Linked DNA regions of Lonchura striata. The protein of the gene in region 4 interacts with the protein of the main gene of each other region in a pairwise test. Links are inferred from orthologs where the notes say so. Each region holds a gene or a part of one and is shown on either strand. Other genes may lie near its edges. The genes, in order: WT1, TNFAIP8L1, BAHD1 and DVL3.

Region 1 (7,347 bases), on a different chromosome or scaffold from region 4:
TTTTTTAGCTTTCAGAAAATACTGACACTTTCTACGTTACTTTTGGCCCGCCACAGAGTTTCGGTGACCTTCAAAACTCAGCTCGGAGCAGGACGAGGTTTTGGCCGCATTTTCCGGTGTTGCCTGACCCAAAGCTTCAGGAATGCGATAAGAAAGTTGAGTTCTGAACCGAGCTGCCGATAGTGAGGTCTCTTTAATTAGGGCGTTATCAGAAGTAGGCCTGATTAAAATGTGCTGAAAATAATTGAAAGTTGTACATCTGCTGGAGAACGGGGCCCGCTGGAGGCATCCAGTTGTTGGAGGAGCCCAGCTGGATGAAAGAGGCAGGCAAACAAGAAGAGGAAAATTGGGCAGAGGTTTCAAAGCCTTAGTTTCCTACCCCCCACCCCATCCCATCCCAGACTTGGCAGAAATGTCATCACAGAGCCAAGGTAGCGTCTTTCCCACGGTCGGAGGAACCGCTAAAAAAAAAAAAAAAAAAAGAGTTCAACCTTGAGGAGAGCCAAAGCAAGAACATTTTATCCATCCACAAAATAGAAAAAAAAAAAAAAAAAAAAAAAAGGCAAGCAAACGCCTTTGCCGAGTATCCCCTTGCCATAGGAGCCCTCTGTCTGCGTGCCACCGAAAACAGCTGAGCCCCAGGGCTACACGTGCGGGAGGCAGCCCCGAGCCGAAGGGACCCCCCGGCCCGGGACACGGCCCCTGCTCCCGCCACGGCGCCGTCGCCGGGCTCCTGCCGGGCCGGGATGCCCGGGGCTGTGCGGAGGGCTCGGTGCGCCGGCCCCGGCCCGCACAGGTGCGGCTGTGTGCGGGGTCTGTGCGGTGCCTGCGGTGCCGCAGGCGGAGCACGGCCCGCGGAGCGCCGGGCCCGAGGAGAGCCCGGCGTGGGCTCCGTGTGTTGGGGCGTTAAAGGCTCCGTTTCTCCCCGGGGTGGGGAAAACCGGACGCCAGGACGGCGCGAAGTCGCAGCTATTTTGTCCCTCGCTAATTCGAATTTATCTCCCTCGTCCTTCTCTCCACTTTCTTGTCCTTATTTCCGTCCAGCTATTTGGAATCTCCTCCGATGTCTAAAACCGTTTCGCATGTCTTTCAAAGGTCCCCGTCAGAGTCCCTGTCCTGACGGGCTCGGGCCGCTCCCCTCCCGTCCCGCAGCTGGAGCTGGGACCCCGCAGGGCACGCAGCGGCTCCGGGGCCTCGGCAGGGCCGAGCCTCTCCCCAGCTCCAGGGATGCCACCCATTTTCCCAGCCGGGATCGGCAGCACGACCCAGAAGCCCCGCTCTGCTCTTTCCTACATCGGAGCCCGGCGCCGGGCGAACCCATGGGGCAGGGGCCGGGGGTCGAAGGCAGCAGCGGGACCACGACCCGGCACTGCCCGGGGGAGGTCCGCGCTGAACAACCCCTGCCCCTCGCTGCAAGCATCGCCCGGGCCTCGGCCACACCTCGGCGGCCAGCACCGAGCGCGTCTGCCGGCGCCGGCCTCGGCCTCTGCTCTGCCCGACGCCCTGCAGCCCGAATCGCCCGGGCCCTTCCCGGGACGGTCTGTCCCAGCCGCTCTGTGGGTTTGCCCCCGCGGGGCACAGCAATCCCGAGCTGCGGGCTAGGTGCGGGGAACCCCATCCTAAAAGCAGAGAGACCCCGGCCACTCATCCCGCTCCGGCAGGGCCACGCACACTCCGCCGATTCCCCGTCCCCCGAGCCGCGGCGCCCCGGCTGCCCGACTCCCCTCGGTGCCTCGCCCGGGGCCGGGCAGTGCGGGGCAAACCCCGGCACACCACCACTCCGGGGCCAGCTGAAGGAGGGGGAATGAGACCCGCAATGTCTCATGCGATCTCTTCGCACGCTGGGCCCTTTTCCTTTCTTCCTCCCGTTCGCGCCCGCAAATGTTTATACTGCAGGAGCTGGAAGAAAAAGGATTTAGATGCTGACCCGGCGCCACACGCGGCTGACCCATTGCCCGGCCGTTCAACCCTCGGGAGCCTCTCAGGACGGTGCGAACACCGGGGACCGCAGGGAGTTGCGGCGCAGCCGGTCCCGGCCGCGGAGATGCAGACAAGAAACGCCGAGTCGCCCCTGCTTGTGCATTCCACCCGGGAATACTCAGCCCTCCCGAGGTTCGTTCGAAAAGGGGCTTGAAAACACCAGCGTGCGGACAGCCCTTTTCGGATTCTGGAGGGAGTTTGGAGGTTCACCCCCGCCACCACCCCATCACCCCCGAGATATGCAGAGGGAATTGTCTCGGGCCACGGGCTCCAGCTCCATTCCAGGACTTGTGTCGTCTCCGGCCCGAACAAACCTTTGCGAAGGCGAGAGGCTGCTCCAACCCGGGGAGGGGGCCGGGGGGCTCCAGCCCGCCTGGCAGAGCCGCCCGCTGCATCCGCTGCCCCACAGGAGGGGTGGGGGCCGAGCAACTCGTGGCTCCTAAAGCTCCCGGGTGCGACGCGGCTGCCGCACAGGGAGGGAAGGGAGGCACGGCAGGGCTGGCTCGCCTAACCCGGCCCGGCCGCCGCGGAGAAGGACCGGCCTCGGTGTTTACATCAGGCGCGGCCCTGCCGGGCTGAGCGGGCGCCTCCGGGGGCCGTCCCCCGAGCCCGGGGCGCCCGGCAGCGCGGCCCTTACCCTGGTTGCGGATGGCTTGCTGGCTCTCCAAGCAGTTGGGCAGGTAGGGCCCGTTGGGGAACATCCGAGCCTGGCCCGAGGGCGGCTGGCTGGGCGGCGGGGCGCCGAAGGGCCCGTAGCGGCAAGCCCCGGCCGTGCCCGTGAACTGGCCGGAGAAGTGGACGGTGAAGGCGCTCAGGTACTGCTCCTCGTGCGGGTCCGATCCGTTCCAGCTCGGCTCCTGCTTGATGAAGGAGTGCGGCCCCAGCGAGCCGTAGGAGGCCCCCGGGGGAAAGTCCAGGACGGGCGCCCACTGCGCCGCGCTGCTCACCGGCATGGTGCAGTTGCTGTTGCCCGGCAGGGAGGGCACGGAGGGCAGCAGCGCGTTGAGGTCTCGGACGTCGGAGCCCATCTGCTCGCAGACCTTTTGCCTGCCGCCGGGCAGCCAGTCTCCCCCCGGGCCGCACTTGTTCCAAGACACCTGGCCCCTGCCCGCCAAGCCGGAGGCCGGCTCCGGCTGCAGGCACCAGGCCGGCGAGCTCAGCCCTTTGGGGGAAGTTTGCTCCGCGACGCAGCTCCCCGGGTCCAGCCCTGCGGGAGCCGGCAGCAGCGACAGGGCAAGGTTGTTCTCCAGGATCGCCTCCGGGTTTGCACCCGCTCGCAGCGCAGGGCAGGGTGCGGTGTGCGTGCCTGTGTGTCCGCGCGTGTGTCTGTCTGTACGGATGTCCGCCTGTCCGAGCTAGGGGGGCACAGCCGCCGCGCACGCCTCACCTCGGATGCCTGCTCAACCCTCAACTTTGCAAAGCTCAAATAGAGGCGCTTGCAGGGGAGGAGGAGTCAGCCACGCCGATCCTCCATTCACACAACCTCCGCCGAGGGGCTGCCCACAGCCCGCTCTGCTGAACCCAGCCGGACCAGACGCGCGGGGGGAGGGGAGACACGGGAGAGCCGGGGATGGAGGGGGAGAGGTGACTGTGGGAGAATATATCTCCCCTACACATCACTCCCACCCTTCTGCTGGTGCAAGCGCCACTAAATCTCACCCTAACGTTCCTCCGCTTTAGGAGAGACTTGCGGGACTTGTTAGAGGGATCCAGGTGGCCAGTAAGTACGTGCTGGCTGACTTCCCCCGCCAGCTCCGTGCATGTCCGTGGGGATTCCCGAGGGCGGCGAGGTCGCAGGCCCAGGGGACCGCGCGGAGAAGCCTCCGCCCTTGCAGGAACCAGGGGAAGTGACACGACCCGGCCCGGGCGGACCCCATTTCTGAGAGGAGAAAGTGTCTTTCCAGGTGCCTTTCCCGCTACGGGAGGATCCTGCGTTTCCATGAGCTCCTGCGGGGTGCGAGCTGCCTGCCCGGCCCCCCCGCACCCCTCCCTGTCCCTGGGGGCGCAGGGCCGCGGCACGTCGCCAGGGCTGGCCGGGCCGGGGTACCGAGGGCTCCGCCGGCCAGGAGAGGGCTGGGAGCCCTTTGCACCGGCCCCGGGGCCGGCGTGAGCCCGGCCCTAGCCCGGTGCCTCGGACCTGCCTGTGTGCGAGGGGAAGGAAGCAGCTGGGCGGGCGGGGGAGGACAGCAGCGCTGTGAGTAACCTGCTGTTGAGAGATTCACCTGGCACTGCTCCCGGGAAGGCCCGGAGTCCCTCTTTGCTCTCCAGCCTCCTGGACAGCGGCTCCTCAGCGTCCATCCCGGGGGCGGCGGCCGGAGGACCCCCAAAGGCACCCGACTCGTTATCCCCGGGCTGTCCTTCCTGCCGAGAAACACGGCAGGACTCGTGTCGGCCCCGGCCCCGAGGGGTGCCGTGATTCTGGCGGTGCGGGAGCCCACCTAGAGCGACTGCCCAGGCAGGAAGCGCCGGGGCGGGCGGCAGAGCCCCGCGGTACCTGCCGCGGGCAGGACGCGCTCTCTCCAAAGGCGGGGAGGGGAATCCTGCCGCCCTCCCGCATAACTACGGATGGATAACCACCCGGGGGTGGGGGGTGCCGCTTTCACGGGCAGCCGTGGGGCAGCTGCCGGCTCAGGGTACTCGCGGAGCACGCGGGGTCGCACCGGCCCCGCCGCCCTGTCCCTTGTCACCGGCCGCTGTTAGAGCCGTGGCACCGCCAAGCGGGGTCGCCGCCCGGCGACACCCCCGCGGCCTCAGCCCTCAGCCTCACCCTCCTTTGCGGCGACAGCAGCGACAGAGGCGCCGCGAAGGCTCACCTGCCGCAGGACACGCCGAGCCCCTTGTCCGCCCGGTGACAGCGCGCACCTCGGGATTTCCTTTCCCTCGCGGCATCAAAGGTTACCGCAAGCATCGTCAACGTTGAAGAGGTGTTTTAAGATTCAAAGGGTCAAGGCTACAACAATAGAAATTAAAATAGGTCCTTATTGGAGCAGCCAAGTATAATTTCATTTTCTCTTAAAACTTATTAGCCATAACGTTCGGTTTTTGTTATTAGTGAAATTGTTTTTTTTTCGCAAACTATTTCAGGTAATTCCCTTTAAAAATTTCTCTTTTGGCACATACATCTATTTATTACAAAAATCCACGTATAGCGTAAGTGCGAAAGATTAGTTCATTATTTTCGCTGATATTAAATATCCTCTAAGTTTACAGGACGCGCCACCTCAGAGCCCACGGCAAACTAAAGCACACTGGACGGCACTTGTGAATGCAGCCCGTGCGGGGAAATCGCGCTGACCTTGCTGCCCGCGGGCTCCGGCGCTGCCTCCCGCTCTGCCTCCCGCTCTGGCCGCACCGGGGCTCCCGCACACCGCGGTCACCCCTGCCCGGGACCCGCGGGGAGCTGCGGGATCGGCACAGGGGCTGCTGCTGGCTTTGCTCGTTTCTGTGACGGACCGATACACGAGGTTGGTTGAACTGGGTACCTTAAAGGTCTTTCACAACCTAAACGATTTTATGATCTCCAGTTCTGCGATGGACATCGTACATATAGGAATGGAATTCTTTGGCCAGCCTAAGCGGGGTATTTGATTTCGCATGAAAACTAGCGCTCTCTAGGAGCTAGCAGAAAATACGTTTCCCGTAGTGGGCTGTTTTTCGAGCTAGCACGGGGGTTTTGTCTTTTCTTGAAATAACCTAGCTTGATAAATCATCTTAAAAGGGAAAGAAAGGTTTACTTGATCGCTTAACTCTGCATTACTCTACCTGGAAGAACTGCCGAAGTCTGTCCAAACCTTCTCCCTCGCACCCTCCAGCAGTGAAACAAGACGACCCCTTGGCCATTAGCGCATCCTTCCTCCCCGCAGTTGCTGGAGAGGCTGGGGAGAGTCAGGAGCTGCCAGCACAGCTCAGCTCAGCTGAGCTCAGCACAGCACAGCACAGCTCAGCTCAGCTCAGCTCAGCTCAGCTCAGCTCAGCTCAGCTCAGCTCAGCCCTGTGCTGCACCTGCGCTCTCCCGGGCCGCCTCAGCCGTGCGGGACACGGAGCGCGCCCACCTCGAACGCGTCCGGGGGCGTCCTGGGGCAGGAAAGCCCGGACCCTTCCGTCTCGGGATGGGCTGAGGATTTTTGGGAGACGGCCAGTGCCACTTTGCCTAGTTGTTTCCGTCTAGCCAGCGCCAGGGAAAGAGAGAAACCTCCAACACAGGCCGGGAACGCTGGCAGCAGCTCCCCCTGAGGAATGCTGAGAGGAGCTGCTCCTTCTTTGCAGGAGACTTTTGCCCACCTCTTCCCCAGAGATCCCGACCCCGCTTCCAGACAAATTCCGGCATAAATCGTTCCAGGTCTCGCACACCGGGCGCCCGCGTGTGGGTTTGGGTGCCCAGTTGAACGCGATGGCCGAGGAGACAGGGAGATGTTCAGGGACAGCATCTCCTTTGTCGGTTTCCAGACCCAGGCGGTGCGGAACATTTTGCCCTGTCCCCTCCGAATACGGCCCGATCCAAAACTCTGACAGGCTTCATTGCCCGCTGTTCCATAGCTAGGGCAATTCCTGATAACGCTCAGTCTTCGATTGTGCTCGAAGGCATACTCTGCCAGGTTAAACAATAGCTGGAGGAGGATTATTCTAGCGAGTCCCACTCGAACACGAGAACAACAGGCTCGGGAAGCTGCTTCAACCTGAGCACCGCTGCCGCACCTCCCCAGCCGAAATTTTACCTCTGCCATGCTAACCAATTAAGGAATGGACCGGTAATTCTTACGAAACTCCTAAAACGATCCCCCCACGTTTCGGAGGTGGGCGAGACTGACTGAACCAGAGATAAATCTCCAGCCCTTCCCCTCCTGCTCACGCCGCTCACAGCACGCAGGGGATCTGTCTCCTTTCACTCAGGGAGCTGATCAGAGTTTGATTATTTAAGCGCTAAGAGCAGCAGAAACAAAGCTGAGAAGCGTCTCCAGGAGCGCAGAGGGCACAGGGGCAGGAATTCATCGCGGCGGGCCCAATCTCTCATTTCTCGCTGCCGAGAGCTGCGAGCACCACGGGAGCCGGGAGCCGCCGGCAAGGCGGGACCAGCCTTCCGTGTGCGGGCTGACGTGGGCCCGGGAACGCTTTCGTGCTGCCTAGAGGACGTTTGGTTTATCCCCTGTGGGTAGAAAAGTTGTTTTTGGTGCACGGAGAAGCAAAGATGCGCGACCCCTCCCCGAAGCAGACGTGAGCGGGGCACTGCGGGCGGGTGCGGGGATAGCGAGCAGCCCCGCGGGGTCCCGGACATCTGCCGTGGCCCCGGCTCTTGCCCCGCTCCGCCGGGACAGCCTCCCCAGCACCGACCCCGCCGTGCAGCGGCGGCGAGCGGCGGGCCGGGCCCGG
Region 2 (7,273 bases), on a different chromosome or scaffold from region 4:
TGCAGGGAAGGAAAAGCACTTTAATTAATTCATGGAGCAGCACAGAGGGGGAGGCTCCACAAAGCTCCAGCTCAGAGCAGAGGCGCCTCTGCCTCCTCTTCCTCCTCCTCTCCCTCCTCCACCTTCCCACCCCGGCCTTAGTAACTTGGTCTTGCTACAAGTTTCCTCCAACACGGAAACATCGTTTCCCAACAGGATAAACATTGAATAGTGGCCATCTCCCTGGATTTCCCTCCATCCCACAGGCTTCTCCTTCCCCTGCTTTGGGAAACACCCCTGCTCTGCCCCCCAGCATTCCCAGTCCCCCCAGCCCCGTGGCTGAATGCCAAGAGGGCGGATGGGATCCCACTGCTCTGCTCTCCATCCCCCAGCAGCGTGCTCCAACCCCTATTAATTAATTAAACCCTCCTGCATTCCAGCAGCTCCGGGCAGTAACCTGAGAGCCCCAGCAGCATCTCCAGCCTGTCCCGCAGCATCCGTGAGCCCCGCAGCTCCCAGGCCCCCGTTACCAGCGCCGGGAGAGCCGAGGGAGAGGAGCGGGAGGAAGGCTGAAGGACGCTCGCAGGTTGCCATGGTGCAAAGGGCAGCCGGAGACGCTGCGTGTGTGCCGAGCGGGGTGAGGCCAGGAGGAAAAAACACTGAATAAACACCTCGCCCGAGGAAAAAAAGCTCCTTCCTTGGCAAAGCCGGGCGGATCCGTGGCTGGAGAGGGCACCGGGAACGCTGCTGGGCACCGCTGCTTCCAGCTCGCCCCGCTCGCTCCCGCTGGTGCCATGTCCCCATCACTGTCCCCATCACTGTCCCCATCACTGTCCCCATCACTGTCCCCATCCCCGTCCTCTCCCTCTGAGCTCCCCCGTCCCAAAATCTCCTTCCCTTCAGCACGAGGCTGAAGCCACGCGAGGGAGATGGATTTTGGTTTTGCCTGGGAGCGCTGATCCGCCCTGGCAGCACCGACGTGTCCGTGCAAGGAGCCGAGGCGCCCATCCGAGGGGGGCTCTGGCGGTGCCAACGCCGGGCACGGCTGGGGAACCCCCAAAAGTGGGATTCCCGTGGGAATGGCATCCTGGGATCCGCAGGGAGGGGTGCTCGCCCCCCAGCTCGGGGCAGGGGCTCATCCTGGGGGTGGTTGTGGCATCAAGGAATTCTCCCTGCGATTACTGTGACCCGCGGGGGAGGCAGCTGCCAAATTGGAGAGGAGGAGGAATTGAGGTTATTTTAAGGAGAGGAGGAGGAGGAGGAGGAGGAGGAGGAAGGGGGGTTATTTTATGGAGGGGAGGAGGAAGAAAGGGAGATTTTATGGAGAAAAGGCAGAGGAAGAGGAGGAGGAAGGGGGGTATTTTACAGAGAGGAGGAAGGGGGGGTTATTTTGGAGCATCTGTCTCGCCTTCCATTTCCTCCTTTTCTTTCTCCAGCTGCCATCAAGCTGCTCTCCCTGGCAGCAACTTCCTTTCTCCTTCGTTTGGAGCAGACTGGAGACTTATGGGGAAGTAGAAAACAGAGGCTGGGAGGGGGGAAACTGAGGCCAAACCACCATCCGTCCGTCCGTCTGTCCGGCCGCGGTGGGGGCCAGGGCACATCACATGCTTCCTGCCTCGGGATCTGGAGGACAAAGTCGCTCTCTGGGAGGGAGGAAAACTCCACGGGACAATTGGGATTCAGTGCTGGGCTTGGGGTCAAGGAAAGAAGGGCCCAAATCCTTCCCTGCTCCAGGGAAATTTCGAGTTGGGAGCTTTTACAGCCAGCTCGCGGCCCGGGCGGGATCCGGCCTCTCCACAGGGATTAGAATTTCCAGGAATGGAGGAATTTCAGCCTCGGGAGCTCAGGGGTGGGAGGAGGGACAGGCGATGCTCAAGCCAAGTGCTGCCATGGGGTACCCGGCCCTGCCCTGGCACGTGGGGCCGTGCCAGCCCCACGGGGGTGGCTCCGGTGCCTCCTCCCGGTTCCCGTTATCCAACACCCACCGGACCCAGCCCCGTCGCGTTTCCCTTGAATCTGGCGAGGGGAAATCGCCTTTTCCCCGTGGTTTATCCACCTGGGGAAACTGAGGCACATCCTGCCGGGAGCGGCTCCCAGCCCTGCCCGCCCCGCGGCTCCCCAAACCCTCCTTTCCCCTCGGGGGCTGCGCGCGGCCGTCGGTGCCCGGTGACACCGGGGAGAGGGGGGACACACACACGGGTGATTCCCGGGATGGAGGGCGAGAGGTTTCGCCCCGCAGCGCAAGCACGGAACAGGCCGGTACCGAGCGCCCCCGCCCACACGGACCGGGGAAGATGGGAGGAACCGGGGAACCGGGAGGAACTGGGAGGTACCGGGAGATACCGGGGGAACCGGCCCTTACCTGCAGCCTGACTCGGGGAGAGCGGCGCCGGGACCGGGGCTTCTCCGGTGCCCCCGGCGGGACGGGACGGGGCGGGACGGGGCTGGACGGGGCGGGGCCAGGCGGAGGGTCCCGCTTCCCCCGGTGCCTCTCCCTGCCCGGCGGGCTCCCGCAGGCGCTACCCGTGCCCGGTCCCCGATGCCGGTGCCCGGTGACGACGTCCGGCGTTCGGTCTTCGATGCCCAGTGCCGGTCCCGGTGTCCGATGTCCGGTTCCTGTTTCCCGGTGCTGGTTCCCGGTGTCCAGTGTCCGATGTCCGGTGCCCGGTGCCAGTTCCCAATATCTGTTTCCCGATTCCCGATGCCGGTTCCCGGTGTCCGGTGCCCGGTGCTGTTCCCGCTGTCTGATTCTCGGCGTCTGGTAACCGGTGCCCCGTGTCTGGTTCCCGGTTCCCGGCTGTCAGTGTCCGGTTCCCGGTGCCGATACCCAGTGCCAGTTCCCGCCTTTCAGTGCCCGGTTCCCGGTGCCGGTTCCCGGTGTCGGTTCCCGTTTCTCAATGTCCGGCTGGCGGTGCCGGTTCCCGGCTCTCAGTGAGGGGTTCCCGGTGCCGGTTCCGTCTCTCGGAGCCCGGTTCCCGTCTCCCGGTGCCGGTTCCCGGCGGGTCGGGGCCTCCCGCCCGCGGTCGCCGCCAAGTCCCGCGCGGGGCCGGGAGCGGCGGGGGCGGGGCCGGGGGGCGTGTCCCGCGGGCGGCGCCAGCCAATGGCGGCGCGGGGCTTGCTACGAAGCAGCCAATGGGAGCGCGCGGATGGGGCGTGGGCGGGGCCGGGGCGGGCGCGTCCCCGCGGGTCCCGCGCGCGTGGGCCGGTCCCGGTAACGCGCGTGGGGCGGGCAGAGCCTCCCCCAGCCCGCACGGGGGTGACGGGGACACGGGTGGGTGACGGGGACACGGGTGTGTGACAGGGACACGGGTGGGTGACGGGGACATCGGTGGGGGAGAGGATCACGCGTGGGACGCCGGCGGCGCTGATGAGCCGGAGCTGAGGAGGGCGCTGCTGGACCGGGCTGTGCGTGGGCAGCGCCGCGGGGTCCTGCAAAGCTCCCCCTCCTCTGCACACAGCGTCCCCACGAGGGGATGTGACACCCGTGGGAAGAGGAGAAGGCGTGGGGGCTGCCGTGCTGCCGGCCGAGAGCAGCGTGTGCGGGAATGTTTAGGCGCGGGGGTCGCGGCTGTCGGGACCCCCCGACATCCCAGAGATTCTGCGCTCCCCAGCATCGGGAGTGTCGGAGCATCCTTCCTCTTCCTCCTCCCGGCTCCGTGGGTAGGAGCCGCGGCACGGGATCCTAATTCCCAAAGGTGGCATTAAACAGATTAAAAGTGGGATTTAGAGCGGATTAAAGTATGGATTAACGGCAGCCTTGACTTGAGTCTTGGTCTCACGCAGCGGCTGGGAAGCGAACCCCAAATCCTCGCCAATTCCCCGGCTCTGATGCCCCCCGCCCCACGGCAGTGCCCGACACCCCCGGGGCATCGCCCCCACTCGCAATATTCCCGAGGATTTCCGCTGGTGCCAGCTCGTGCCGGAGCAGCCGCAGCAGCTGTTGCCGCACTGCCGAACAGCTGTGGCACCAACCTGCCCTGCATAAATCACCCTCCGGGCTCGTCCGGTCCCGGTGGCCACCGGGAGCCTGGTCCTGTGTCCCCATTACTGCCCTGCTCTGTATTTTCACCGCTGTCCTGCTGTCCCCATTGCTGTCCTGTCTTGTGTCAGCACCATTTCCCTATCCCATGTCCCCATTCCTGCCCCATCCCATGTCCCCACTCCTTCCCCATCCCATGTCCCCATTTCTGCCTCATCCCCTGTCCCCATTGCTGCCCCATCCCCTGTCCCCATCCATGTCCCCATTCCTGCCCCATCCCATGTCCCCATTCCTGCCCCATTCCATGTCCCCATTCCTGCCCCATTCCTGCCCCATCCATATCCCCATTCCTGCCCCATCCCATGTCCCCTATTCCTGCCCCATCCCATGTCCCCTATTCCTGCCCCATCCCGTGTCCCCATTCCTGCCCCATTCCCTGTCCCCATCCAGTGCCCCATCCCGTGTCCCCATTCCTGCCCCATCCCATGTCCCCATTCCTGCCCCATCCCGTGTCCCCATTCCTGCCCCATCCCATATCCCCATTCCTGCCCCATCCCATGTCCCCATTCCTGCCCCATTCCCTGTCCCCATCCCGTGTCCCCATCCCGTGTCCCCTATTCCTGCCCCATCCCCTGTCCCCATTCCTGCCCCATCCCGTGTCCCCATTCCTGCCCCATCCCATGTCCCCATTCCTGCCCTGTCCTGCGCCCCCACCGCTGTCCCACCCCACGCTGCCATCGCTGGGCCACCCCCGCCGTTTGTCACCTCGCTCAGGCTGTCGCTGAAGGTGTTTTGGAGGGTGATGGGATGGGGTGGCCGTGTGGGGAGCACCCCTGGGTGCACTCCGGTGTGCCCAACACGCAGATCCCAAAATTCCCAACTCGGGAAGGATCTCAGCAATGTCCCCACGTCTTGCAGAGCTCTGCTCCTCAGCCCAGCCCTGGAGCAGCGGCCGGGGGATGCTGTGCTGGGGTCACACGGGGGGAACCCCCCCAAATCCATCGCCACAAATCCCTGCCCGGAGGATGGAGCAGCCACTGCGGATCGCGGGGATGGGAGCTGGCTGCGCATGAAAACCGGGAATAAAAAAAGAAAGGCAGCGAGGCAGCGGGATGTGGGCCAGCTCCGAGCAGCCGCTCCCCCCGTCCCTCCTCTCCTTGCAGGGAAATGAAACGGGGCTTGCAGCCGCTGCTCTCCTGCCCGCCGAGCCTCCCCGTCCTCGGGGAAGGCGGCCCGGCTCATCCCGCTCCCCCTGAGGCTGCACATCCCACCCGGACCCCCACCACAGCTCCGGGACATCCCCATCCCTCTGCGGCTGCACATCCACCGAGACCCCCACCACAGCTCCGGGACATCCCCGTCCCTCTGCGGCTGCACTCCCACCCGGACCCCACCCCAGCCCCAAAACTTCCTTTCCTCTGCCTCTGCACATCCCACCGAGACCCCCACCCCAGCCCCAAAACTTCCCTCCCTGTGCCGCTGCACTCCCACCCGGACCCCACCACAGCCCCAAAACTTCCCTTCCCTCTGCCTCTGCACATCCACCGAGACCCCCACCCCAGCCCCAAAACTTCCCTTCCCTCTGCCTCTGCACATCCCACCGAGACCCCCACCCCAGCCCCAAAACTTCCCTTCCCTTTGCCTCTGCACATCCCACCAAGACCCCCACCCCAGCCCCAAAACTTCCCTCCCTGTGGGGCTGCACATCTACCGGGACCCCCACCCCAGCCCCAAAACTTCCCTCCCTGTGCCGCTGCACTCCCACCCGGACCCCACCACAGCCCCAAAACTTCCCTCCCTGTGCGGCTGCACATCCACCGAGACCCCCACCCCAGCCCCAAAACTTCCCTTCCCTCTGCCTCTGCACATCCCACCGAGACCCCCACCCCAGCCCCAAAACTTCCCTTCCCTCTGCCTCTGCACATCCCACCAAGACCCCCACCCCAGCCCCAAAACTTCCCTTCCCTCTGCCTCTGCACATCCCACCAAGACCCCCACCCCAGCCCCAAAACTTCCCTCCCTGTGGGGCTGCACTCCCACCAAGACCCCCACCCCAGCCCCAAAACTTCCCTCCCCCTGCCGCTGCACATCCACCGGGACCCCCACCCCAGCCCCAAAACTTCCCTCCCTGTGCCGCTGTACATCCACCGGGACCCCCACCCCAGCCCCAAAACTTCCCTTCCCTCTGCCTCTGCACATCCCACCGAGACCCCCACCCCAGCCCCAAAACTTCCCTTCCCTCTGCCTCTGCACATCCCACCAAGACCCCCACCCCAGCCCCAAAACTTCCCTCCCTGTGGGGCTGCACTCCCACCAAGACCCCCACCCCAGCCCCAAAACTTCCCTCCCCCTGCCGCTGCACATCCACCGGGACCCCCACCCCAGCCCCAAAACTTCCCTCCCTGTGCCGCTGTACATCCACCGGGACCCCCACCCCAGCCCCGGGACTTCCCCCTCCCTCTCCCACCCGGACCCCCCCCCCAGCCCCGGGACCCCCAATCCCCGCTGCTCCCCCCGGCCGGGGGCGGGGGCTCCGCTGCGGGGAGCATCCCCAGGGAGGCAGCGGCTGAATAATTGGGGAGAATGAGCCAGAGTAAAAATGTAACAAGATAAAAATCCATTTAAGTAAAATGTGCCACTTTGAGCTTACTAAATATGCTGTTTAGTCTAGTAACTACAGCCCTAAAAAAATTACCCCAGCTAAAGAAAAAAAATAAAAAAAGAAAATTTCCACACTAAAAAATAAGAAATAAAAAAACTCCTCAGACCTCAAAACAGATAACGCAAAGTAACCCAAGAGTTTTTCTATACTTTCTAACAAAAACTAAGTACAAGTATAACTAGCTATAAATATAATATAAAATCAGCAAAATAAATATACATAAACCTATTGTAAAAGTCTATACATAGAAATATTAATAAAAATAATTTTAAAAATCAAGAGTTCTCAAAAATACGCATATCCATTAAAAAACAGTAAGTCCCCAACATACATCCACACCACTATAAAGAAACATACCCGTTCCCTGTGGGATTCCTTAAAATCAGAGGGTTTGGGGCACATTGCAAAAGGCAGGCCTCAGAAACAGCAGGATGGTAATTAGAGCTAAGCAGTAGCTATAAGATTTGTCAACAGAAAAAGTATACAAGTAAAAAGAAAAAAAAACAAATAAAACAATAGTCTGTGTATTAACGCTTGAGTAGAATAACTTCCTAAGTTGCAGAAAAGTATATCTGGTGAAGTATTAAGAAAAATCTAAGGTTAATAATGGAGCTCTGTGCATTGTAGCTTAAAGCTTACAAGCAAGTATTGTA
Region 3 (7,244 bases), on a different chromosome or scaffold from region 4:
AACATGAGAGTTATGATGTCGTTCAGCTGGTTGGGTGTGATACCAAGGCTGTTCTGCTGCTGCTTCCATGAGTTGTATCCCCGTGGTTAACTGAGATCCCAGAACCAATGAGCTTGGAAAAGAACTCCAAGGTCACCAAGTCCAACCTGTGACCAATCATCACCTTGTCACCCAGCCCAGAGCACCGAGCACCACATCCAGTCCTTTCTTGAACACCTGCAGGGATGGACATTCCACCACCTCCCTGGTGTCAGCCCCTTCCAGTGCCTGACAGCCTTTTATACAAAGAAATCTCTCCCGATGTCCAAATGGGGACAACTAACTGGAGATGGGGCAAAAAAACCCTAACACAGCTCCTTTTGGATGTGATATTTGCACATCTGAGCACACCTTCTTGTTTTTGCAGAGCTAGATCTCATCACTCGTTCATTTGCTTGTGATCTGAACACGATGCCAAGCAGAGAGCATGCCTTTGCTACCACTCCTAATTATTTTTCAATTGTTTACTTTGGACAGATTTGCTGCTAAGGGCTTATTTTCAATGCTGCAGCAGCACTAGAAAAGTTTTTGCTGAAGGGTGGATTTCCCCCCACATCCCAGCCAGGTGATCCCTAAATCGGATCTCCACAGACTGGACCAGCACACGTGTTCCAGAGAGCCTCCAAGTCACACAACAGCGATTAACACCACCACAGCAAACAAAATTAACCTGCATCACCTAAAACACAACAAGTTCCACCTCAGCAGGAGGAAGAACTTTCCATGGAGTGTGGCAGAGCACAGAACAGGCTGTCTCTGGAGACATTCCAAACCCACCTGGACACATTGCTGTGTCACCTGCTCTAGGTGGGGGTGGTCTCCAGAGGCCCTTCCAACCCTGTCCCGTGATACTGGTTAAAAAGCCAAATAAACACTAAGGCTTCCAGAGAGGAAACAGAAAGGTGATGCAGACAAACTGGCAAGAAGGACAGAGTACCGACGCTTAACTGAATGATTCAGTTGGATGAGAACACACCAGTGGCCTCCAAAATAACATTTCTGCCTCAAGACACAAGGGTGTGACTGTTTTTCCCCCAAAGCCCACATTTCTAAGTTGCATCTTATTGTTCTGTGCAACTGTCACCATGAAGCCCCAGCAAACAAAGCATCCAGAAAGGATCCAGTCGCACAAAGTTCAAGGAATTGTTTTTCCTTGCAGGCTTGGTGTTTTACACCTATCAGTAGTACTACACTTCTCTGCTCTGCTCCAGCTGGAAAGCAGTTAGAAATGCTGCACTGTGTTAATGAGGAAAACAAACAGAAATCGATGTTTAAATCCAAAACGTCCTGGTAAATCACACTAATGCACTATTTCCTATCACCTGCAAACATTTAGACAGTTCCAGCCGAAGCTCGGGAACGATTCAGGTAGCCAGGACATGACAAACGTGAAGGATGGCCCGGGATGAATATGTGAGCAGGATATTTCTGTTAAAGCGATCAGCAGCGTGCTGGTATTTAAATCACATTACGATTTCAAAAGCACCAGTCTATCACGCAGCTCGTGTCACTCTTTCTCACAACCACAAGGACCAGAAGCCTTAAAATAAAACCCCGAGCCCCCCAGAACACCACAGAGCCCCTCAGCGTGGCACAAGCACTCGCTAATTGTGGCAAACTGATGGACAGATCAATTAACCAGGCAAGCAAAAGCCCGGCAAAGCCTCTCGCTTTGAGGTTCGCCTGCTCCTGACAATGATGACTTCAGATGGAGAGCGAGCACGAGGGGCAGCTGGATTCTTTAAAACAAAACACAACCAGAACCTCTTTCAGATAAGCATTTTGTGGAAAGAGAAAGGGGAGGGGGAGAGGCAAACAGAATAAATCCCAAATGCTCGTATTTTTTAAGTTTTCGTGGCTGCTCTTGTGAAAGAGAAGGGGTTCCTGTGTCTCCCTGTGCCGGGGCAGGGAAAAGGACATCGGGGTGTGGGTATCCCCGTGTTGGCTGTCGAGCAGGAGCCCGGGGAGCACTTGCTAGTCTTCCCGAGATCTGCCCAGTCACATGTGCTGGCTCCTGCGCCTTATAGAAGCAGCTGGAAAAGAGGGAGCCAGCGGAGCTGCCTCCATTAGGAGCCACCGCTACACAAAAGGAGAAGAGAAAACAAGCCGTCGGCCACCGGAGCAGCCGGCAGGAAAAGAGAGATGTCCAGAGCCACGGGGAGCGCACGGCGAGTGGGAAAAATCACGATGGAAATGAAAACTGCTCTGCTATCCCCCAAAGAGGCTCGATGGTACCTGCTTGACAGGGACACGGGGCTCACAGCCCGCCCGGCATCACATCCTGCAAACCACCGGGAACTCGACGGACTCAACCGCTCGACCCTCCGGGGAGGGGCTCATCGCCCCGTTCGGCCGTGGGGAGCCCCAAGACACCAAGCCCCAGCCAGCCCGTCCTGTGCCAACTCCCGGCCGGGCAGCGCCGCTTCAGCTCCGAGATCCGGAGTCGCCGAGGACAGCGACGGCTCTCCCCGGGAATCGCCTCCGACCCGGCGATGCCGAGCCGAGCAGCCCATGGGGCGAGCAGCCCATGGGGCGAGGAGCCCCGCAACTCCCGCGGGCCCCCCCGGCCCGGCGCCGCCGCCTTTGTGCTGCCCGAGCGGCAGGGGCGGAGGAGCCCCGGGCGGTTCGGCGGGGCCGATCCGGCCTCGCACCGGTGGGACCGCGCGGGGTAACGGCGGCTCGGGCCGGCCCGGCCCACCCGCCACCCAGCCCGCCGTGCCCTCCCGGCGCTTCCCCGCCGCCGCGGGAAGTTCCCGCTGGCCCCGAGTACCCCCCGCCCCCCAAACCCCGGGGCGGCGGCACCTGCTCCCGGCCAGGCGGAGTTCCCGGGGGCGGAGGGACGAGCCGGCGCCGCGGGGACCGCGTGTGGACTCACCGGGAGGCTGCCGCAGGCCCCGGGGGGGAGAAATCCAGCGGCGGGAGCGCCGCGAGTCCCGAGCTCCGCGCTGCTGCTGCGTCAGCGCCGCCGCCTCCTCCGCTGCGGGATGGGGACGAGGCGCCACCGCCGCCGCCCGCCCCTGGCCGCGGGGCGTCGCGGAGCGGGCGGGCGGAGGCCGGAGCGGGCGGCGGAGGGGCCGGGAGGGGCGGAGGAGGGGGCGGAGGAGGGACCGGGGGCGCCGCCGCCGCCGCCGCCGCGAAGTCCCCGCAAGCCGCGAGCGCCTCCGGCCTCCTTCCTGCTTCCTCGTCCGCAGCCAATCGTCGCCCGCCGCCCGCCGCTCGCCCCGCCGCGCCGGCCAATCACGGCCGCCCCTCCCCGCCGCCGCCGGCCAATCGCCGCCGCGCCCGCCCCCGCCCCGAGCCCCCCTCGGCGCCCCCCCGCTCCCCTCACGGAGCCCCCCACTCTGCCGCCCCTCGCCCGTGGCGCGGGATAACCGGGATAACCGGGAAAACCGGGATAACCGCCCCGCCGGAGCACTGGGGTAGCCCCCGATGGCCGCGATTCCCTCACAGGACGGGGGCATGAGGCGGCCTCGCGCGCCAGTCAGGGGCCCCCCCGTGGGTCCCTCAGAGGCGCCCAAGGCGCCCTCACACCTCGCGGCTGTGCCCTGCGCATCCCGGGGGCAGTCACACTTAAACCGAGCCCTGCATCCAAACTCTGGGAAAGTTGTATGTCCCAGGGGTCCGGCGGGAGCTCCGCTGAGAGCTGCTAGGGAGGAGAGGCAAAAGGCAGAGCGGGTTTGAGCGCCCATCATTCCCATCCCGAGATGGGCACTGGAAAGGCCACGGACAGCCCCTGTGTGGCAGCTATCCCTGAGCAGCCTCGTGAGTCAGCAGCAGGGGAATATCCCGTTGCATTTTAGGGGGGAAAAGGCCAACAGAGAGTTCTCAGGTGTCTCAGAGCTTCTCCACAGAATCTGTCCTCAGGTGCGACACTCAGGTGTCCGTGGCTTCTATGGTCTTACCAACAGGTGAGACATGGCAATGAGAACATCTGAAAAACTCCATATTTTCCTGAAAAGATGAGTTTAAAGCCCTAAAAGAGAACCAGCAAGCCACGGAAGTTACTTGATCTTTAGCAGTACCACAGTCCCCATCCCTGAAGCCTCTCCATCAGCACCAGAATGGGGTTTTTCCATAGAATCATGAAGTCTTCTGAGTTGGATCCACAGGAATTGAGCCCCACTCTTAGTCCTGCACAGGACAGCCCCAAAAACCGACCATGTGCCTGAGAGCATTGTCCAAACACTTCTTGAGCTCTTTCAGGCTTGGAGATGTGACCGCTTCCCTGAGGAGCCTGTTCCAGTACCAAATTTGTCCTATTTCTTTTAAATTTGGGAAACAGCTGGGAAAGAACTCGCACATGGAACAAGCAACTCACGGGGCTTCAGGAGATAAATACACACACAATGAGGGTGAGACCCTGATTATCTGTTTGAAATTCAACTAAACTGCAGGAGACTAAGAGCCTGAAATACTTCCTGCCTTGTTCCGGTGGTCCACAGGGATCTTGCAAACAACAGCAGGATCAAGCACTGGTATGATTATTGCAGGATCCAGATGTTACACAGGGGAAGCTTGAGAGGAAATTCAGCTATTTGGAGACACTAATTCCTGAAACAAATACCAGCCATTGGTGATGGAGCAGGGAAAAATAAGTAACTTTAACAGCTATACCCCTGGAAGCCTTCAAGGTGCAGTAGGGCAACCCTCCTTAAAAACTCTCTGATACTGTTATGAGCTGGATTTGGATGATCCTTGTGCATCCTTTCCACCTCAGGATACTCTGTGATTACCCCATTTGATGGCTGCCCTTTGGAAATGCAACCTTTGGAGGAGACTTTTCCAGGCTCTATTTAATGCAGCTGGACAACACCAAGAGCCACTCCATAAGCACAAAGGTTCTGTCTCCTCAGACCAGAGCTGCTCCCCACCTGAAAACCGAGGGCAGCTCATGGTGCTGCCAAATTATTCCCTAAAAATGATATTTTATTGGAGCCTTTCCCTCTGCTGCGAGCCACAGGAACAGGAAATCACAGCACTCTGAGATCAGAGTTCAATTTTCGTGTTACACAGAGCACACTTACTCCTGTTGCTAGATGTGTTCCATTGACTTCCAGCATCTACCACCTCAGACTCCCATAGCTAAACAGAACGATATTTGAGCAGAAAAGTGAAGAATCTGAGAATTTCAAAGTTCTGAAATCCCCCTGGAACTCAAGCAATAAACCCACAGTGTCACAGTGTTCCAGAGGGAAGCACTTGGGCAAAATTCATTATGAAATTTGATGACAAATATCATTTAACAGCTGCTTTCTGGGGAAAGTGGAGGTGAGGCCACCTTCCCTCTTCCAGGTGTCTGGAATAGGAGAACATCTGGACAACGGACAGGTTGAGGATGGGGAACTGCTCCAGAGCTGTGCAGGAGTGTGAAGCACAACGGAGCCATCTGCAGAGCTGCCTCTCTTTTGAGATACTAATTTATTCTCAAGTGGGGCCTTTCCTCGTCCCTTTCTCAGAGGGATGAGGGGGGGAAAATGGGAAGCTAATTGCTGATTCCAGAACAATATGTCTGTGTGTCTGCTGGCCTCCAGCCTCTGTCAGGCGGCGACACAGCCAAGAGGCAGCATTTGGGCTTTTTCTCCCCTTATTAACTGGGAAGAATAAACCACCAAAACCCCAACACAAAATCTTCCTACCCCATATTCTGGCCTGTTTTTTGGACAAGGGATAACATCCAGGGCTATAGACTGCCTGAACAGCAGCACAACAAGAATCTTTGTCCCCAGCTCACAATATGGGCTGTGGCAGCACCTTGCTGAGGTAGTACCTGTTGGTAAAAGGGGTTCTAAAGCCCCATGGCTGTGGAGGAGCTGGGCCAGGAACCAGCAGGGATTAAGAGATTGTCCCTCACTGCATGACTTACCTCCAGATACTGGGGTGGCACAGGTACACAGAGCTGAGCCAGCGCTACAGGGAAAGAAGGGAAAAGAGGATTTTATTGTTAACACAGGGAAAACAGGGAAAAGGATCTTTGCATTTTCTGACTTTGAATTTCAGTAAAATCTTTAGTTGTCCCACAGGAGAATGGAAGAGAGTCCCAGCACCTCACTGTGGGTCAGGCTGGGAGAAGGGTGTTTGCACTGCACACTCAGAGCTCTCTGACTTTCAGGAACAACTATGGTAAATTTTAAAAAGTCACAGGAAATCCAAGAAGAAAAATCTCCCAGCAGGGCTGCAAGGACAGAGAAAGAGTACCTGGAGCTCTGGTGTCTGTGATGGCAGGAGGCTGGCAGCCTCCTCTTTTTAATCCAAGTGGAATCCCTGGGAACACCTGAGCTTCCTGCACAGCCACAAACTGATGGAGAGCTTGCATTCCACTGGCAGCTTGCAAATAGGCATGGAAGCTTAAGCAACAACCTTAATCCGAGTAAACTCACACACTAAGAGCAGCAGTGTGGAGGATCCTGCACCAACTGGTTCCTTGGCCAGGCCTCAGGGAAGGACTTGGCTGCAGGGAAGAGCCGGCACATCTGTGAGGGGGAGGGTGGCCAGCCCCACCTTCCCAAACAGCCGCATGGCTGCAGATGGGGATAAAGCCATCCTTGGGTCTTTATGTGGCCCCTGTTTGGCTGCAGTGACAGGGATGGGTTAAAAAGTCTTTAATTCAGCCTATCTCAGCTGCATCCCATAGGGATCCTTCTCTTTCCAGGCATGTCCCCCACCAAGAAACATCCCCAAACCCAGCTGTGTGATCCCATCCCTCCTGGTGTTTCCACAGAAAAGGTGCTGGTGCTGCACTGGCTTGCTGGCAAAGAGATGGGTTTTGGTGGTCCCCTCCTTTCCTTCCCCCTTCCAGGGTTAACCCAGTAACTGCAAAAGGCCAAATGAATCCCTGGTGGAGCTCCATGGACTGACTTGGAATTCTATTACACCAAAAAAGCAAATTGGCTGTGAGTGTTCAGGTCTGCAGCAAACCAGCTGTGGTTACAGAGGCAGCTTCCTCTGAGATTTCTGTTTAAACATCAGCATTTGTTCATTTTCAGCTGGGTGAAATATTCCCCTTTTTCCACCGGAAGAAACCTTCAGGCTGAAGGAGAGGGCTCTGCCAGCACAGAGCTGTCACAAAGGATCTCATTACCTACCTAGAAAAATCCAAATTACTGTATTGGTGTCTCAGGGAATCATCTGCAGCTTTTTGGTACCGTTGCTGCTACAAAGGTTTAATTTCTCATTTATTTTAATTTATTTTCGTTTTAGAAAAGTTT
Region 4 (7,565 bases):
CTCTGATTCTCCCTGCAGGCCAATGGCTCACTTTCTCATGGACATCAATTACCAGGGATCATGAAACTTTGTGTGCTGCCCAGGGCTTCAGGGCTTCTCAGAGACAAGGCTGCAGCTGGACTGCTCTGCTTGTTCCCACCATGTTCCAGCCAACCACCAGCACATTCTTCAGCTCTCTGGAAAGCAGCAGAGACAGCTTTCCTGATGAAGCATCCATGGTGACAAAGGCTTGCTCTCTCTCTCACACCCCAGGCCTTGCACACACTGCTCCAACTGCTCAAGTTATATTGCCCAGGACTTCCCCAAGGAACAGGCTGCCTACACACAGCCCTGACCCCCTGTCAGCTGTGCCTTCCCTTCCAGAGTGGTTTACGCTTCCCAAAGAAATTAGCTGGGCTGGTCACAACAAAAATCTCATCCATACATTTCTGACGCAACTGATCTTGTGGTGTCTTCCTGAGTGACTTTCCCCTCTCCCTGCTATCACCCACTATAACTCCCTATGCTGCTTTACTGTTGAGTTTTGTTAATCTATCATCTAGCTCCTCTTGTAGAACCTTAAAGAGATAGAGGAGGATGAAAAAACACAGCACAAAACTTCACTGCCACCAGACCCCTCTTCCCAATGCAAGACGCTGCTATTTATTACTAAACTTTGTTTATAGTTGCACACTCTCCCACCCACATGGCAATGTTTCATTCAAGACAAGTTTGAATTCACTTCAAGAACAACATTTCAAAGGATCCCAAAGCATTTGTTTACAAACAGCATGCACAGAGAAGTCACTTCTCCCCCCAATGAACATGGTCCCCTCCGAGACAGGGAGAGGCAGCTGTTTCATAGCACCCAACGCTATAAAACAGCTGAGGGACAGGAAACGATCCACAGACAACTGATATTGCTGAGGAAATTTATGGAAAATGAAGGCTGGAGACTTCTATTTGCCAGGAGAGAATGGAGAAGCTTCTGAGAACTAAAGCTCTCCACTGGGTCAGGAGGAATTTAGGGAAGCAAAGCGTTTCAGACTGCGGTCAAAGGAGTGACTCCAAATTTCAAGCCTCATCTGAAAGCTGGCACCTCCCAAACTAACGGGAACCTGGGCACGGGGATAATTTGGCTGAGGAGGGGAGAGCACCCCCTGCTGAGGCAGCCACACAGATCTCATCCAAGTCCCAAACAGGCCAAGCCCTGTTCAACATGGGGTACAAGCCAAAATCACAGCCCAGAGAGGTATCTGGTGCAGTGAGAAGACACTGGGAAGAATATAAAACTGAAAACACTTTGCAATCCCAGCTCCATGCATAAGACCTACTCTAAACACCAGATCTTCAGAGGAGGAAGTATCACACCACTCCTTCAAACATCAAAGTGCTAGAAATGGTAAAGAGTCACATGTTGTAGAAACCAAGAGAATCCCAGGATGGAAAAAGAGTGGCTAAAGGAAAGTCAGATGTAGGAAATCTGGACAAAACAGAGTGAGGACAGAGGGTCTTACAGGGAGCTGGCTTCCCATGGTATTTGCTCCCCAGAACGTTAACCAACTTTATGCAGGTAGGAGACAGCAGGGGCTGCCCAGAAGATAAGCAAGTACAACATCCAAACAAGAGACAGAATATACCTCCTCACCTCCAATGAGTCACCTGCGATGGGAGGAACCAAAGGGCATCACAAAAGAAGTGATGGAAACACCACTGTTGGAAGAGAGTTGCCCTGCAGGAGATGGGATATAAGACAGGGCTGCACCCCTCTTCTATACCAGAGATGGAGCACGGGACATCTCACTTTGAGACTGGGACATGTACATGGGTACAGTGAGTCTTGTATACACCTCCTGCTCAGAGATGGGCAGCACATGGAGAGCTCTCACTCCTTCTTCATGGAGGTAGGGGAGGACAAAGCTGGCCTTCTCTACACATTCTTCCCAAAAATTAGACGCAGAGGACAAAGCTGACAAAATGGATGTCCCTCCCCAAAATGGATGGTAGGAAAACAAAACTGTCCCCAACTCCATTCCATGGAAAGGGCTGATGGAGGTGGCTCACCCTTCTGGAGGAGGGAGCAAGGGGCACTTTCCCTAGGCAGGCACAGTGGGAGATGCCCAGGCCCTTTTGGTGGGGAGTGACAGTCCTGAGCAGGATATAACCTGGGGATGCCATCCCCGACACCCCAGTGTGGGCTGCATGGGTGAGACCACCTCAGGCAAGGTGTTGGCCAAACATCCTGAGTACGGGAGGGAGTGACCCTCAGATGGGGATGATGGTCTTCTCCAAGGTGCCTCTGGCACCTGAAGCAGGGTATCACCAGCTCCCTCACTGAGGAGCTGGCATGGCGCAGCTTCCCCAGAGCAGATGCGGGATCCGAGGATGTGCGGCTGTCCCCGGAGGCAGCACCCAGGGACAACGAACCCCAGAGAATGTGCACGGGGGTATCACCTCCAGCCTCCCACAGGTGAGGTCCTGGGGTGCACGGAGGGCGCGTCCCTCCAGAGAGAGCCCAAGGGGGTCACCATCCCCATCCTCGCCAAGGAAAGGCAACGGGGATGGAAGATGGATCGGGATCACCGGCCCCGCGCCGGGCACGAGCGGCGCCTCCCCATCCCGGGGGTCCCGGCCCCGCCGTCCCGGGGCGCTGCCGGGGCCGAGGGGCAGCCAGCCCCAGCCCGGCCCCGCGAGGGCGGGAGCTCCCCGGCCACCCGCACTGCTCCCCGGGGAGGCCCGCGGGGCCCGGGCTCCACGCGTGGCCCCGGGGGACCGGGCCCGGGCCCGCGCTCACCCGAAGTCGTCGTCCATGGACTTGAAGTAGAACTTGTAGTTGGGGCGGTTGAGGAGCCCCTTGAAGTCGCCGAGGGTGACGCGCTCGGCCGGGATCGGCAGCTTCACCAGGTACGGCGTCTCCTGCTCGTCCAGGTGGTAAATGATCTTCGTCTCGGCCGCCGCCATGGCGCCCTGCCCGGCCGCCAGGCCCCCGCCTCTGCCTCCGCCGCCTCCGCCGCCCCGGCCCGGACCCCCGGTCCCGGCCCGGCCCCCGCCCGTGCCCCGGCCCGGCTGCGGCCTCCGCACGCCCGGTCCCCCCGCGCCCCTTGTTCTCCGGTCCCAGCGCCGCCCGGCTGCACGGCGCAGGCTCGGCCCGGCCGGCCCCGCCCCGCCCGCCGTCCCGGCCCCGCCGGAACCGGAACCGGCGCCCCGCGGGGCCGCGGCGCGGGAGCGGCCCCGGGAGCAGCGCGGACGGCACCGGGCTCAGCGGGCAGCCCGCGAGTTGGGGCCCAGAGCCCGCCACCGTGCCGGCCCGCCCGCTGCCCCCGAGCCGGATCCCCGCCGCTGGGACGGAGCCCCTACACACCCATCCAGCCCCGGTGCTGCCGTGCCCCGTGAGGGTGCACGGCCCCGGGACTGCCCACCTCCAGCCCCATCACCCCTGGGTGCGTTGGCATTTATACTTTACATCCACATCTTCCTATCCGCAGCCTGGTACTCCCCGTGCACCCACATTCCCAGTGCCAGCTGGGAATACACCTCTCCTAGGCTCCCCACCCTCATTCAGCTTTCACACCCCCTTTACACGCTCTGATGGTGCCTCACACACAGGGTCATTCCTGTGTCCCGCGACCTCCGATTCTGTCCACACCCCAGGCCTCCCCTTCTATCTCTGCAGCTCTGGTCCTTTATCACACACCTCTCAGCCTTCCCCATGCTCCTCTACAGCTATGTGCCCCATGAGTACAGCTTACAAAACATGAGGCATATCCATCTCTACACCATCCTCCCAGGTACAGACCCCTTTGAATTCTCCATACTGTCTCAGATGGCCACCACACACAGAGACTACCACACACCCCAGAGCTCCTCTCCAGCTAGGGCTTCCCTCTGAACCCCTTGTCACCATCCAACAACTAACCCCAGTGCCCAGACCTTTTCCTTACCAAGCAGACTCTTTCCTCTGCTCTTCATGAGAATCCTCTCTTCCATATACCATGGCTTCTTCAACTGGGCACCCTTTGGCTGTGTGGTTTCTTCCCATCCTGTCTCCCCAGACCCCAGCAAATTCTTACCTATAATCATCAGCACTGTGACCCCAGCCCCCAGGACTTGCCTCTGTTCCACATCAGTCTCAGGTTGTCTGGTTTCCACCCTGCACACCTTGCCAGCACCCAGCAGGCACCAAGGAACCATCTCCATCAGCAGTTTCCCAGAGTTGTGGCTAAGAGCAAAACTGGGGTGGATGGAGTTTTGGGAACACCCACCAACAGGAAGGGCAAGAACCGCCTTGCACCATCCTGGATTAGAAGGAACATGCAGAGGAAGCACCACACCACGGGCCTGCACAGGGCATGAGACAGGGCATGAGACTAGATCAGCCCTCAGACTAGACTCCCCTGCCGTAGGAAAAGGAGCCAGAGAGATCCTACAGGGAACAGAGCCAAGTTCCTCAGGCAGGCAGAGCTAAATAAGCCTTCTAATGCATTAAAGAGTCCTGCAGGCATTGCTAGTAATTACCTGGGCAGCACTGCTAGACTGGGGGAAGAACCTGACATTAAACTGAAAAAAGAATAAAAATTCAAGGGAAGTCCTCAGGTAAACAGAAGTTGTAAGAGGTCTGAGACTCTGATGTTTCCACATCAGCTCTTGGAAGATTGTAATTTCCTTATGCCCAGAGCTCTGTAGTAAAAGCTGGTGTACCTGGAATGAAGAATCCAGGTCAGGAATGGAAAAGTTTAGTTTGAATTGCTTCTTCCTGTGTCAACTCTGACAGAGCTAATCTTAAAGTCCTTTTGCAACACCTCCGTGCCCCAAAAGCAGGCACATATGAGAGAATCCTAGTGTGTACCTGGCAGGGCCACTGCCAGGTCTCATCCACCTCGCAGCACAGCCATGGGTGCACCTTGGAGCCTGTATTGTACACATCAGACACATTTGTTACCAAAAGGGCAATTTTTGGTACTGCCGAGCTCCCAAGGGAGCACATGCAGCTCAGGGGAGGGGTGCCACACCCCCAGGGTAGTAGTAGATGAAATCTCATTGCTACAGCTGCCTTTTCTTTTAAAACAGGCCAAGTGACTGAATAGCCTCAATGATAGATCAGTTTCACTGCTCACAGAGGCCTTGTGCTGTATGACTCACTGAATGGAAGTTAAGAACACAGTGCCAAAGAAATTAGCAGGAGGGGATTGTGCTGTGCACTCCAAGGTCCACAAGGAAGTTTCTGAACTGCCTGTTGGCTTATTTTTGCAATTATTGCAACTTAAAAATTGTAGCATCGATAACATTGCTTCTCCTTACAGAGTACAGGCTTCAGACATTTTAGTGCATCTTGGAACAGCCCAAAGCAGAGGCGGATGTACTTGAGTTCCATCACTTACACCTTTAAGCAAATCCAAATTATTATCTTCTTTTAAAAGGGTTACTATTGTTAACTGAAGTTGTAGGTTTGATAAAGGAACACCAGGTTCCTTCCTTCCTTCCTTCCATCCATCCATCCATCCACCCCTCCCTGTCAGATGGGAAGGCAGACAAGTTGATTATTATAGTCTTAGGAAAATAAAGTACTTAATTGCTTGCATTTCTCAGAGATGGGTAGCAATGATTCCACATTCAAGATTGCTCTCAAAGGCATTTCTAGTCTTCTAACCAAAGAACCATCTTGACTGAAGCAACAACAAAGCATCAAGCCCACCCTACACTTCAGCAATGGAATAAATGCTCCTTTAAAAAGTACAGCACGTATCAGTACATAAGGATGCTTCACCATGCCAGAACTCCACCTTGGAGAGTATCAAGTGTTCTAATTAGTTTTCTTTTTGCTACTCTATTCTTGGCATCTGTAAAACTACCCCACTACACACACCACCAGTGCCTGAAGGATGTGGCCATAAAGCAACATTCTCCCCTTGGATTTTAACTCTCAGGTAAAAAGCAGCTCATACCACAAAGTTGGAGCAAAGGAGGAAGGAATGTGGAAAAAACAAAAGTGGAATTGTTACTTGGCAGAAATAATCAAGAACTTCTGGCAAAACTGAGCCATTTACAGCACTACACGTTAAATTTATTCTTAAGCCATATTTACTCTGTAAAAGGAAAAAAAAATATTTGAGACTTCCAAGGAGATTTTAAAATTACTAAGTCTTGCAGCTGGTTTGTAAATGGTTTGACTAAGGGCTTTGTAGCTGCTTCTGCCAGTTCCCTGCCTCTCTACCGGTTCTTATTTCCCAGCATCAGGAGGACACAATGCATGATGTATCAGCCAACATTCCCATCAATTCCCATAATGACAAATGATAAGAGATTTCCTTGGATTTAAGGTTCATCTTTGCAACATAATTCTGTACAAAACCAAACCTCACCCACTTCAGGATTCCAAGTTCAGACATTTTAATGAATTGTTCTCACTAGTTGCAAACAGGGCTCATGAGTTACCATCAAACACTTTCACTCATGAAATGCTGTGCCGATTTCCTACCTGGCTATTGTGTGCTTAAAATCTGAGGAAAAACAAGTGATGAGTTATTTAACTTACACATGAAGCCCTGCTCAGGCATGTAAAACTGGAGACATACAATTTCAAGTAAAAAAAAGCAAACAAGCTGGTAACACCAGGATAGTTTTTATTTGCTCCCTGAATTAAATATTGGCAGATACAGAAAATTCAGATACCAACAATTTCCCCAACATTTACAAGACTGAGTTTGCAATGTCAGAAAACAAGGACATTTATGCACAGTCCTGGCAACTGATAGTGTGAGTGCACAAGATGGCCCTGCCTGAACATCAGCTTTTTAGAGGCAGTATCCCTGGTCTCCAGCATCCAATGCTGTCCCCTCACTGACAGTTGTGGCACCACGGAACGGCCAAGTAAATATCCTGAGTGGGCAGCTCCAGTGCAATTCCTCCTGCAAAGGATTTATTCCGTGCTCCTCCTGAAGGGGCAGAGGCTAGGTCAGCAGATCCAATACCCCACCCATGAACACAAGCTGATGGCTGCGGTACCCTTTTCACCCTGTTCGAGAGCAGGGCAGAATGCAGCACAGTGACACTTCCAAGTTAGCTGCTCTTAAAGGCCTTGCTGCTGCCACACATTGTCTGAGCCAGAGGCACACTTATTCCCTGCTGCCTGCCAAGCTGTTCTGTGGCTGCAGAGCCTCACAGTGGGTTTGCAGCACTTTTCCTGCTGTCTGAGGGAAGTTTTCAAATAAATAAACGGCCATGAAGTAAGCAAGCTTATGTAACTGAAATCATGTGGATACACAGACGTGCTGCTGAAGGAAATACCATTCGCTCCTTTTCACACTGGAGCAGAACTTAGTAACTTGCATTCTCCTCAAAGCAGCTGGTGCAGTCAATGCCCCCAGGGCAAAACAAGTGTAGTTGGTGCAGCAGGAGAAGCCAGGCACCTCTGCACCCTTTTCTTAAAAAAAATAAGAAACAGACACTTCTCTAAAACATGTCTGCTAAGCTGGGGGCACAGAAGAATGATCACATGCAGGATATGGTGATCCGTAGAGCCATCCACCATCAACCAACCCTGTGGGGAAGCTGAGCAAAACATCATCCCTAGTTTTATAGCACAGGAA

Evidence for each region.
Region 1: the proteins of DVL3 (region 4) and WT1 interact in binary tests that used the Homo sapiens proteins (3 or more experiments, as listed by UniProt). The link is inferred for Lonchura striata from reciprocal best matches to the Homo sapiens genes DVL3 and WT1.
Region 2: the proteins of DVL3 (region 4) and TNFAIP8L1 interact in binary tests that used the Homo sapiens proteins (3 or more experiments, as listed by UniProt). The two-hybrid records come from large-scale screens. The link is inferred for Lonchura striata from reciprocal best matches to the Homo sapiens genes DVL3 and TNFAIP8L1.
Region 3: the proteins of DVL3 (region 4) and BAHD1 interact in binary tests that used the Homo sapiens proteins (3 or more experiments, as listed by UniProt). The two-hybrid records come from large-scale screens. The link is inferred for Lonchura striata from reciprocal best matches to the Homo sapiens genes DVL3 and BAHD1.

Annotation. Positions count from the first base shown.
Region 1 is NC_134608.1:60,255,836-60,263,182, reverse strand, and holds the start of WT1 (Wilms tumor protein), read right to left. Parts: upstream 3,009-7,347; coding exon 2,618-3,008; intron 1-2,617. UniProt on the Homo sapiens protein: Transcription factor that plays an important role in cellular development and cell survival. Recognizes and binds to the DNA sequence 5'-GCG(T/G)GGGCG-3'. Regulates the expression of numerous target genes, including EPO.
Region 2 is NC_134630.1:5,932,180-5,939,452, forward strand, and holds the start of TNFAIP8L1 (tumor necrosis factor alpha-induced protein 8-like protein 1), read right to left. Parts: upstream 3,018-7,273; 5' UTR 2,342-3,017; intron 2,268-2,341; exon of another isoform or gene 2,175-2,267; intron 1,603-2,174; exon of another isoform or gene 1,378-1,602; intron 1-1,377. UniProt on the Homo sapiens protein: Acts as a negative regulator of mTOR activity.
Region 3 is NC_134608.1:52,665,292-52,672,535, forward strand, and holds the start of BAHD1 (bromo adjacent homology domain-containing 1 protein), read right to left. Parts: upstream 3,008-7,244; 5' UTR 2,915-3,007; intron 1-2,914.
Region 4 is NC_134612.1:18,725,539-18,733,103, reverse strand, and holds the start of DVL3 (segment polarity protein dishevelled homolog DVL-3), read right to left. Parts: upstream 3,004-7,565; 5' UTR 2,941-3,003; coding exon 2,774-2,940; intron 1-2,773. UniProt on the Homo sapiens protein: Involved in the signal transduction pathway mediated by multiple Wnt genes.